Xenopus tropicalis: one gene and its partner. The protein of the gene in region 2 purifies or fractionates together with the protein of the main gene of each other region. This does not show direct contact. Links are inferred from orthologs where the notes say so. Each region holds a gene or a part of one and is shown on either strand. Other genes may lie near its edges.

What was found. Proteins that work in one complex are often made in the same cells at the same time.
Region 1: the proteins of lig3 (region 2) and aptx purify together in Homo sapiens (affinity purification with mass spectrometry; 3 studies listed by BioGRID and IntAct, with this or other methods). This does not show direct contact. The link is inferred for Xenopus tropicalis from reciprocal best matches to the Homo sapiens genes LIG3 and APTX.

The regions. Positions count from the first base shown.
Region 1 is NC_030677.2:94,453,234-94,458,236, forward strand, and holds the start of aptx (aprataxin), read left to right. Parts: upstream 1-1,656; 5' UTR 1,657-1,731; intron 1,732-1,740; exon of another isoform or gene 1,741-1,932; intron 1,933-5,003. UniProt on the Homo sapiens protein: DNA-binding protein involved in single-strand DNA break repair, double-strand DNA break repair and base excision repair.
Region 2 is NC_030686.2:27,248,783-27,253,245, reverse strand, and holds part of lig3 (DNA ligase 3), read left to right. Parts: coding exon 1-81; intron 82-433; coding exon 434-589; intron 590-688; coding exon 689-820; intron 821-1,020; coding exon 1,021-1,100; intron 1,101-1,182; coding exon 1,183-1,270; intron 1,271-1,413; coding exon 1,414-1,491; intron 1,492-1,572; coding exon 1,573-1,696; intron 1,697-1,827; coding exon 1,828-1,970; intron 1,971-3,120; coding exon 3,121-3,195; intron 3,196-3,783; coding exon 3,784-3,930; intron 3,931-4,214; coding exon 4,215-4,407; intron 4,408-4,463. UniProt on the Homo sapiens protein: Isoform 3 functions as a heterodimer with DNA-repair protein XRCC1 in the nucleus and can correct defective DNA strand-break repair and sister chromatid exchange following treatment with ionizing radiation and alkylating agents.

The DNA of each region.
Region 1 (5,003 bases), on a different chromosome or scaffold from region 2:
AGCCCCATATAATGAGGGTTTATCTGTTATCTGCTAAGTAACCTGTGCCTTTTCTCCTTTGAATGGCTGCCCCCATGGCTACACAGCAGCTTACTTATATAAATTATAGTAGTCTTTCTGAGGCAAACACACCAGTTGTACCAATGCAGGGCAACAGTACATTATATTGTAATTACTTTTATACACTTTCATTTTTTGGTGTTACTGTTCCTTTAATGACCCCTTGTCTGTGTCTGCCAAGCTGCTTTACATTAAAGTAACAGTAACATCAAAAAATGAAAGGCTACTCTAGTTTATATAAACAAAGCTGCTGTGTAGCCATGGGGGCAGCCATTCAAAGAAGAAAAGGCACAGGTTACATAGCAGATAACCGATAAGCTCTGTAAAATATAATGGAGCATTATTTGTTATCTGCTAAGTACCCTGTGCCTTTTTCCCCCCAATCTGAATGGCTGCCCCCATGGCTACACAGCAGCTTATTTATATAAACTATAGTAGGAAATCTGTAGCAAACATGCCAGTTTTACCAGTGCAAGGCAACAGTACATTTTAATTACTTTAAAAGGCTAACATTTTTTGGCATTACTGTTCCTTTAAGTAAATGTGTAAATTGTATAATGAATATGTGGAATAGGTAACAGTCTCTCTGCAACATGTAGGAAGTTGAATTGCATTGATCATCATAAATAATCATAAGTTAAATAATCATAATCATAAATAAAAGAAAAAAATAAACCAACAAAATATGACACCAGCACTACTGTTAAACTACAGAAATCCTGGTAATACACTTTGGGACAACGTGCATAGAAATAGTTAATTCTCACAAAGTGGTCAGACTTCTGAAGGATGCCATGGGTTTTGTACCGCTAAAACCTATGCATTATGATGTATTTCATGTGTGGATACACTTATGCAATTCTCTTAGCAACACAATTAGAGGTGGGTCACTTTTCAGGCATTCATTGCCTAGAAACACTAAAACCCGGTATTGATCCAAAACTGAGCCCCAGGGAGCCTTCAATCAGGAGAAAAGAGCAATGAAACACTGACCCCAGTCAAATGACCAACACTGCCAAGTCACGTGACAAGAGAATAGCCAACATCAGGCACCTAGCTCAGTACCTCCTCGCCGACCAAAGACGAACCCACATAACCTCGGACCGACAAATGTGATATCATAACCCAAAGGAATTTAAAAAAATCATAGCCAGGCGTACTATTCATTAGGGAAAAACGTTAGAGTTCAATTCTAACCTGCAAAAAATATAGTCAATAACCGCTTACATCCAAAACTCGCTCATATAAAAGCAACGACTACGTTTGAGACAGAAAACACGGCACGTGTTCCATTTAGCTGGGATAAAAAAAACAACAAAATCAACAATAAATAAATGTATTAATGCCTTCATACCCACGATAATGCACTGTATATTCAAGGTGGCTAGCGGTCTTCTCCGTCTAACAGCTTCTAGAAGGATCGAGGGAACAAGAGTCACATCCGGGAATCTTATGTAAAAGGAAAGAGAAGGGGGTGGTGAGACCACGATGACGCCTAGAGTCCGGAACCGGCAAATACTCAGGCTCCAATCCAACTGCGCGTTAGTGAGGGCGGGAACGTGCTGCCAATCGTGCCTGATGCGGTTCACTGCAGCACGCCTTGCGTTCCAACCGCTACGTGGCACTGAAATCAGTTGAATTGATTGACGACCACGTGAATTCTAAGAATTGGTATGGTTAAACACCACGAAAAACGCCTAATGATTTTTTTTACACTCACATACGTGGTGTTTTATCAGCCTTTTAAAATACGTGTCTGTCATATTAATGGCCGACAGAGATTTGCGTCCACTTGTATTCCGTAGGTCATAGTATATGCAGGCTCCGCCTTGTAGTGTATAGCTGTTGATGTTTCGTGTGTACCCACGCTAGGTAAGATTGTACATACATATATTTATACAAATTTGCGTCTTTGGAATTGTCTTAAGGGACAGCTTCCCTACCGAATAGCTGCAAGGCTTCACAGAAACGTGATAACTTTACAACATATAGCCATGCCGTTTAAAGAGCGAAGTTGTCATCTCATCAGAAGGGATGCTGCTTCTTTGTGACTGCAATAGACAATTCCAAGTTGCCCAGGGTCCAATATTGTAATCAGAAAACATGGGTCAAAGGCAATTTTTCATTACAAACAAGTACATTTATTACATGCCGAATACCCATGCTTTAAGCTTATCATATGAGCAGGACTACAAGGAGAAAACCAAGTGGAAATTGGTGGGCATAATTTACGGTTAATAGGGCTTGCAGGACATGAGTACAAGCAGCCAGCCTTGTATGTTGGTTGTCAACAATGGTTCTGTGGTTCTTGCTCCCTTTAAAAAGTTTATTGTAAGGTGCATTCATACATGGTTATCATAGCATTTCATCAGCCTTTCTATTCCCTTTATCAGCTTGTTCCCTCTTCTTTGAACTCTATCAATAAGGCTCTAGAGACCAAAACTGCTGCATATTTAAAGGAACAGTAACACCAAAAAATGAAAGTGTATAAAAGTAACTAAAATATAATGTGCTGCTGCCCTGCACTGGTAAAAGTTGTGTGTTTACTTCAGAAAGTCTACTATAATTTATATAAATAAGCTGCTATGCAGCTATGGAGGCAGCCATTCAAAGGAGAAAAGGCACAGGCACATAGCAGATAACAGATAAAACACTATTGTACTCTACAGAACTTATCTGTTATCTGCTATGTAACCTGTGCTTTTTCTCCCAGCTTGAATGGCTGCCCCCGTGGCTACACAGCAGCTTATTATATAAATTATAGTAGTGTTACTGTAGCAAACACACAACTTTTACCAATGCAGGGCAACAGTGCATTATATTTTTATTACTTTAAAGCTCTTTCATTTTTTGGAGTTACTGTTCCTTTAAGGCCCTACTGGTGCCTTAAAGTGGACATGTCACACAGACATAAAAAGCTGTATAATAAAAGCCCCTTTCAAATTAAACATGTAACCCAAAGTCATTTTTTTATTAACACATCTATACCCATTATACAAGCAAGTCCCAGCTGTCAATTAAATATTTCCTGACCGCCTCTATGCCTAAGGCATAGAGGTGGGGCAGACAGTTAATTTCACTTTCAATTCAGAACTTCTTAGATGTTGCTGCTCTCCTCACATTCCCCCTCCCTCCTCACCATCTAATTTTGTAACCAGTGCATGTACATGGGTATCGGGTCCCCCCATACTGGCACAGAAACAAGATTTTGGCAGGATGCACAGCTTGCTTTAATAACAGTGTCCACAAAATGGAGCTTGCCTGTTTTCTGCAATGGTGAATTCCAAGGCTGAAGGAAATAGGTTTCAAAAAATGTATATAGTGTAATTGAAGTTTATTTTGCTTGACAAACACAATAGAAAACAATTTGTAATTATTTCTTAGGGTGACAGGTCCCCTTTAAAAAGAGGGAGAGTATCATGCAAATCTATACCCCTTTTTAATATAGCTCAAAATCTTCCCCCTACCATTTAACCCTTCCGAATGCTAATTAGCATATATGAATTTATGCTAATTCGGTTCGGCCGGGACTGTGGATTCTGCCAAAACTGAATCCTTCAAAAAAAAAAAAAAAGGCTATATTCGGCCAGAATCCTGAACGGAATCCAGGATTCAGTGCATCCCTAGTCATTTGCAAACACTGATAAATTTCTTTCAATACCCACCCCAAGTTATTAATGAATAAATAAAAAAGGACCCAATACAGAACCCTGTGGAGAACCCTACTTCATTCAGAGAATGTACGATTTACAACCATCCCCTGTACACAATTCTTTATTTCTGCTAAAACAATTAAGCAAGAAATTCAGGGAATTTTGAGTCAAATTTAAAGATGTTGTTTACCTTTAAATTTTCTTTTAATATGACATAGACAATGATATTTTAAGACAGTTTGCAGTTGGTTTTTATTTTTTTTGTGGTTTTTCAGTTATTTTTTGTTCCTCGGCTCTCCAGTTTGGAATTTCAGCAGCTGTCTGGTTGCTAGAGCCTTGTTTACCTTAGCAACCAGGCAGTGGTTTGTGAGACTGGAGAGGGACTGAAGAGAAAGATAAGTAATACAAAGAAACAATAACAATAAAATGGTAACCTCAGAAATCAATACTGGTTTAGGGCTGTGTCACACGGGGAGACTAGTCGCCCTCGACTAATCTCCCCAAAATGCCATCCCTCCGGTCGGTGAAAATGTAAATTGCCGGTGGGATGGCATAAATGCCTTTAAGAAAAATTATAAATAGCATGCAAAGACAGTGTTACGGTAGATGTAAATAAGGTTTAATTTCTGGTGTCAGTATCTCTTTAAAGGTGAACCATGCCTTTAAGATCTCTGTTTTGTTCTCTTGCTACAGGTATCGGACCCCTTATCCGGAAACCCGTTATCCAGAAAGCTCCGAATTACGGAATGCCCGTCTCCCATAGACTCCATTTTAATCAAATAATTCAGAATTTTAAAACTGATTTCCTTTTTCTATGTAGAAATAAAACAGAACCTTGTAATTGATTCCAACTAAGATATAATTAATCCTTACTGGATGCAAAACAATCCTATTGGGTTTAATTCATGTTTTATTGATTTTTTTTAGTAGACTTAAGGCACAGAGATCCAAATTACGGAAAGACCCCTTATGCGGAATACCCTTGGTCCCGAGCATTCTGGATAATGGGTCCTATACCTGTACTATATGCTGGAACACGAGCTACAAATATATCAAATCTGCCCCTTTGACTCACCTTACCAAAATTAGTCTATGAAGATTTTCATTCATCCAGGTCATGGTATATCTAGTATAAATAAATTTAAAGCTACTGGACTTGTTTGGTAATCATTGAAGACGTTTCACTACTCATCCGAGCAGCTTCTTCAGTTCAACTGACTCGTATGGGAAGTCCTCAGCATATATACTCTTCCACTAATCCAATCACAATGGCACTTTGTAACTCTTCAG
Region 2 (4,463 bases):
CGCAACGAGCAGCAGGCTCCAGGAATGAAACGAACTCTTAGTGTCCAGGCTTCATTAATGACCCCAGTTCAGCCTATGCTGGTAAATAGACTTAAGATTATCTTTTACATGTGTTATGTGTGTATAATTAAGACAGATTCCTCCAGTGTTTTAACACAAACAGTCGCACAGTCTTCACATATTATAAAATAACATTCCACCTTCATGTAAGTGCAAATGTTAATTTGGAAAAAAAAAAAAACACTTACCAGGTCACAATTTTAGAATGGATGCAAGAAGAGTTACCCTGTGTGAAGGGAAATTGGATCCCTCTGTATATACATATGCAGTTGGGTTGCTACTTTGTCTGATTTGTGTTTTGTAGTATAGTATTTTTCCCCCTACATTGATACATACTTTAATTCACATTCTGGTAATCTCTCCTCACCCCCAGGCTGAAGCTTGCAAATCTATAGAGTATGCCATGAAAAAGTGTCCCAATGGTATGTATGCTGAAATAAAGTATGATGGTGAAAGAGTCCAAGTACATAAGAATGGAGATCACTTCAGCTACTTCAGCCGCAGTCTGAAGCCAGTGCTGCCCCATAAGGTCATTTTTTTTATAATGTACTATTTGTATCATTTGTGTTTAGCAACCTTATTTGTTGTGTTTAGATACATGGTTACAACTTTTTTTTTTTTTTTACAGGTTGCTCATTTTAAGGATTTTATACCTAAAGCATTTCCAGGAGGAAACAGTATGATCCTGGATGCAGAAGTTCTTCTTATAGATACCAATACTGGCAAGCCACTTCCATTTGGCACATTAGGTGTTCATAAGGTATATATGATTTTTAATGTCTAATGTCTTTAAGGAACCAGTTGATCTAGACTAGAGTATAAACACTTCAGATTTTTTGCACTGGGTTCTGATTATAACCTGGCATTTCTAAGGCTTTGCAGCTGCAGGAATATAGATACATTTTCTTTGTGTTCCTATTTTACCTGGAATAATATATTTTAATTTAATTTCCTTCACAGAAAGCTGCTTTCAAAGATGCCAATGTGTGCTTGTTTGTTTTCGATTGCATTTACTTCAATGGAGTGAGCTTAATGGATCGGTGAGCATATTCAGATCAAGACTGTATTTTATAAAATGAAAGATGTTTCTTTGAGCTGCTTACCAATAACCACTTTTTGCAGGCCACTTAGTGAGCGCCGAAAGTTTATGCGGGATAACATGGTTGAAATCCCTAATCACATTCTGTTCTCTGAGATGAAACATGTCACAGTAAGTACTGTCACAGGCATAAAACCTTGCTCAAATCCTTGATCAAACTGTAATTCATTCCTGGTTGTACCTGCAACCTATTCCACATCTGCTCGTCCTTTAGTATTTTTTGTTATTGTAACTAAAACCTGTTTATATTGCAGAAAGCTTCTGATCTGGCTGACATGATCACCCGTGTTATCCGTGAGGGATTGGAGGGTCTGGTATTAAAGGACTTAAAGGTAATTTAAGTTAGATAAAGAGCATCTTCCTAATTGCATCTATATGAGATTCCGCAGTCAATTTTTTCTTGTTCACACCAGAGTAATTATGAGCCAGGGAAACGTCATTGGCTTAAAGTAAAGAAGGATTACTTGAATGAAGGTGCAATGGCAGACACCGCTGACTTGGCAGTTTTGGGAGCTTATTATGGAAAGGGAGCAAATGGTAAATGTAGCTGCCCTTATTTTTTCAAAAGTAAATTTTATCTATTATAAATAACTTTTTGGCTATATTCAGCACAGTACTTTAAGGAGAAATAATTCAAGGTTTTTATTTAATTATTAAACATTTTATAGGGGGTATAATGTCCATCTTTCTCATGGGTTGCTATGATCCTGAAAGTCAGAAGTGGTGCACTGTGACAAAATGTTCAAGTGGTTATGATGATGCTACTCTGCAACGCCTTCAGAAGGAGCTTAACATGGTCAAAATCAGCAAGGTTAGTCTTGTCTTGTGGATGATTGCATTGCGAGTCTGATTTAATTTTCCCTGCTTCGGGTTTTTTTTTTCCTTCTTAAGCCTTATACTCTGTAATGAAAAGGTGGGAATAAAAGGGCATTGATGACTGTGTTGTATGGCACCATTATGACCCTGAAAATAAATCAGGACTGTATGGTATAAGCTTTATTCATTGTGTATGGGTAATAAGCACACTTTTTTTCTGCCTGCAGTTAGATGGTGCCTCTATACAAGGCACATTATCTACACTAGGTGCTACTACAACCCCCAATTTTATTGAATGGCCTAAGTTATATATTTTTTTTTTAGTTTGCCATTTACTCTCTTATACTCTCAGTATGCAGTATATTATTATTATTATATATATTATACTGTCCTGTTTTGGAGCCCTTGCTTCCTGTTGATAATATCTGGGATAGAACTAGATCTGTGATAAACATTGCAACCAATGACTTCTAATTCAAACTATTGATAAAATGGTATATGACCCGTCAAAGAAAACAAAAAATAGACTTAACTTCCTCTCTCTGTTGTAGTATATGCTCATATACTGACTCTTTGATACATAACTGGTGGTTTTGTCCCATAGCTAAAGAATTCTGGATAAAAATTATTAATCTTTTAAAACGGATCTTAATTTACAATACAATATTTCAAATTCACCTCTTCATCAAATTTTTAAATTAGCCATTAAAGGCTTAAACAAGGCAGGTAATATTCTCTAAAGACATGTTTTTTTCTGTGACCAAATGGACTTTTGGCCTCACTTTGGCTTAGGGATAGCCTTGAGTTTAAGCTTGGTTTAACCAAAATCCAAAAGATTCACTATGTAAAAGATGACTGGATCTGTAGAGGACACTATAGCTACATTTATGGATTCTATATTCTGAGCGCTTATGGTAATTCAGCATTTTTGTTGTTGTTGCCCCATAAAGGATTCTTTTAGTTTCTTCTTTTCCCTAATATGTTTTTAATGTGATGCACTATGCATATGGAAATATGAAAAATGTATTTAGTATTTTTCATTTATCTTTATATCTATATTTTTAAAAGCATAACTTATGTGGAAAACGTATATACAATGTAAAACCATGTACATGATGTGATGCCTTCCTTTCTTTTGTTAACAGGATCCATCTAAGATTCCATCATGGCTTAAAATCAACAAGAACTATTTCCCAGATTTCATTATACATGATCCCAAGGTAGTATTTGCAAGGGGTAAAATAATTAAACAGCTTTGTAGCTGAATATTCTGTTGCAATTTTAAATTTCACCTTTAAGTTATCTTTTACTGTGTTGTACTTTTGAAACTTTTTAATTAGCCTTCATTTTTTTTATTGTTTTTGAATGATTTTCTGCCTGCTGCCTCTTTCCAGCTTTTCAGTGTCTGTTCAATGAAAGTTAATTTAAAGGTGAACTACTGCCTAAATGGTTTTGTGGTAATTGTGACAATGTCAGTTTGGTAGCTCGGTGAGCCATTAAATGTATTCACTCACTATGCTTAAACATTCTGTGGAGATGAGATGGCAAGTAGGTGTCCTAATATTTGACCAGTCTGCCCACTGCAGAGTCCTATCTAATTATATCATGAATTAATTGTGTGCAGCAAACTAGCTCATATGCATCTTTTAGCCTTATGAATGTCTATTTTTAACCTGGAAAGCAAACTTATTGATACCTACTATGTATAGCAGCTGTAATTTTTCATAGGTTCTCCTGCAAATCAGCATTCTTTAATATATTCGTGCATGAGACAAGATACTAAACTCATTCCTGATTTTTCACCATAGAAAGCTCCCATTTGGGAAATTACAGGTGCAGAGTACTCAAAGGCAGAGGCTCATACAGCTGCTGGGTTATCCATTCGCTTCCCACGCTGCACACGTTTCCGTGATGATAAGGACTGGAAAACAGCCACTACACTCCAACAGCTAAAGGTACGAATGCGTGGCAACCTTTTTGCTATTCCAAAGCACTGAACGCCATCAGCTGGACACGACAATTCTGGTGCACAAAAGATTGCAATGCCCTCATTATTAGCAAACTGTAGTTATTAAAATAATATGTAATAATGGAGTTCTATAAATGTGCTTTACTTCACCCTGAGTTAGTTGGCTATGTTCACTGCTGACCCTGGTTTATGGCCTGGCATATATTAAAGTGCATTTGTATACAATGTGTCTTTTTTTTTTTTTTTTTTTTTTTTTTTTTTCAACTGCAGGAACTTTATCGTCTCTCAAAAGAAAAATCTGACTTTAACATCACTGCTACATCCTCTCAGGATGAGGATGGTTCATCTGAAAGCAGTAGTCGAGAGAATGAAGGAAACTCCAGGCAAACTGCATCAGGCAGCATGGTTAAGAAATCGAAAAATGCGCCTTCCAAATCTCCTGGAAAGGACAAAACCAGTGAAAGTAAGATGTCATGACAAATCTATGTTCTCCTGTCCTTGTCTGTGCAGCCATGTAAA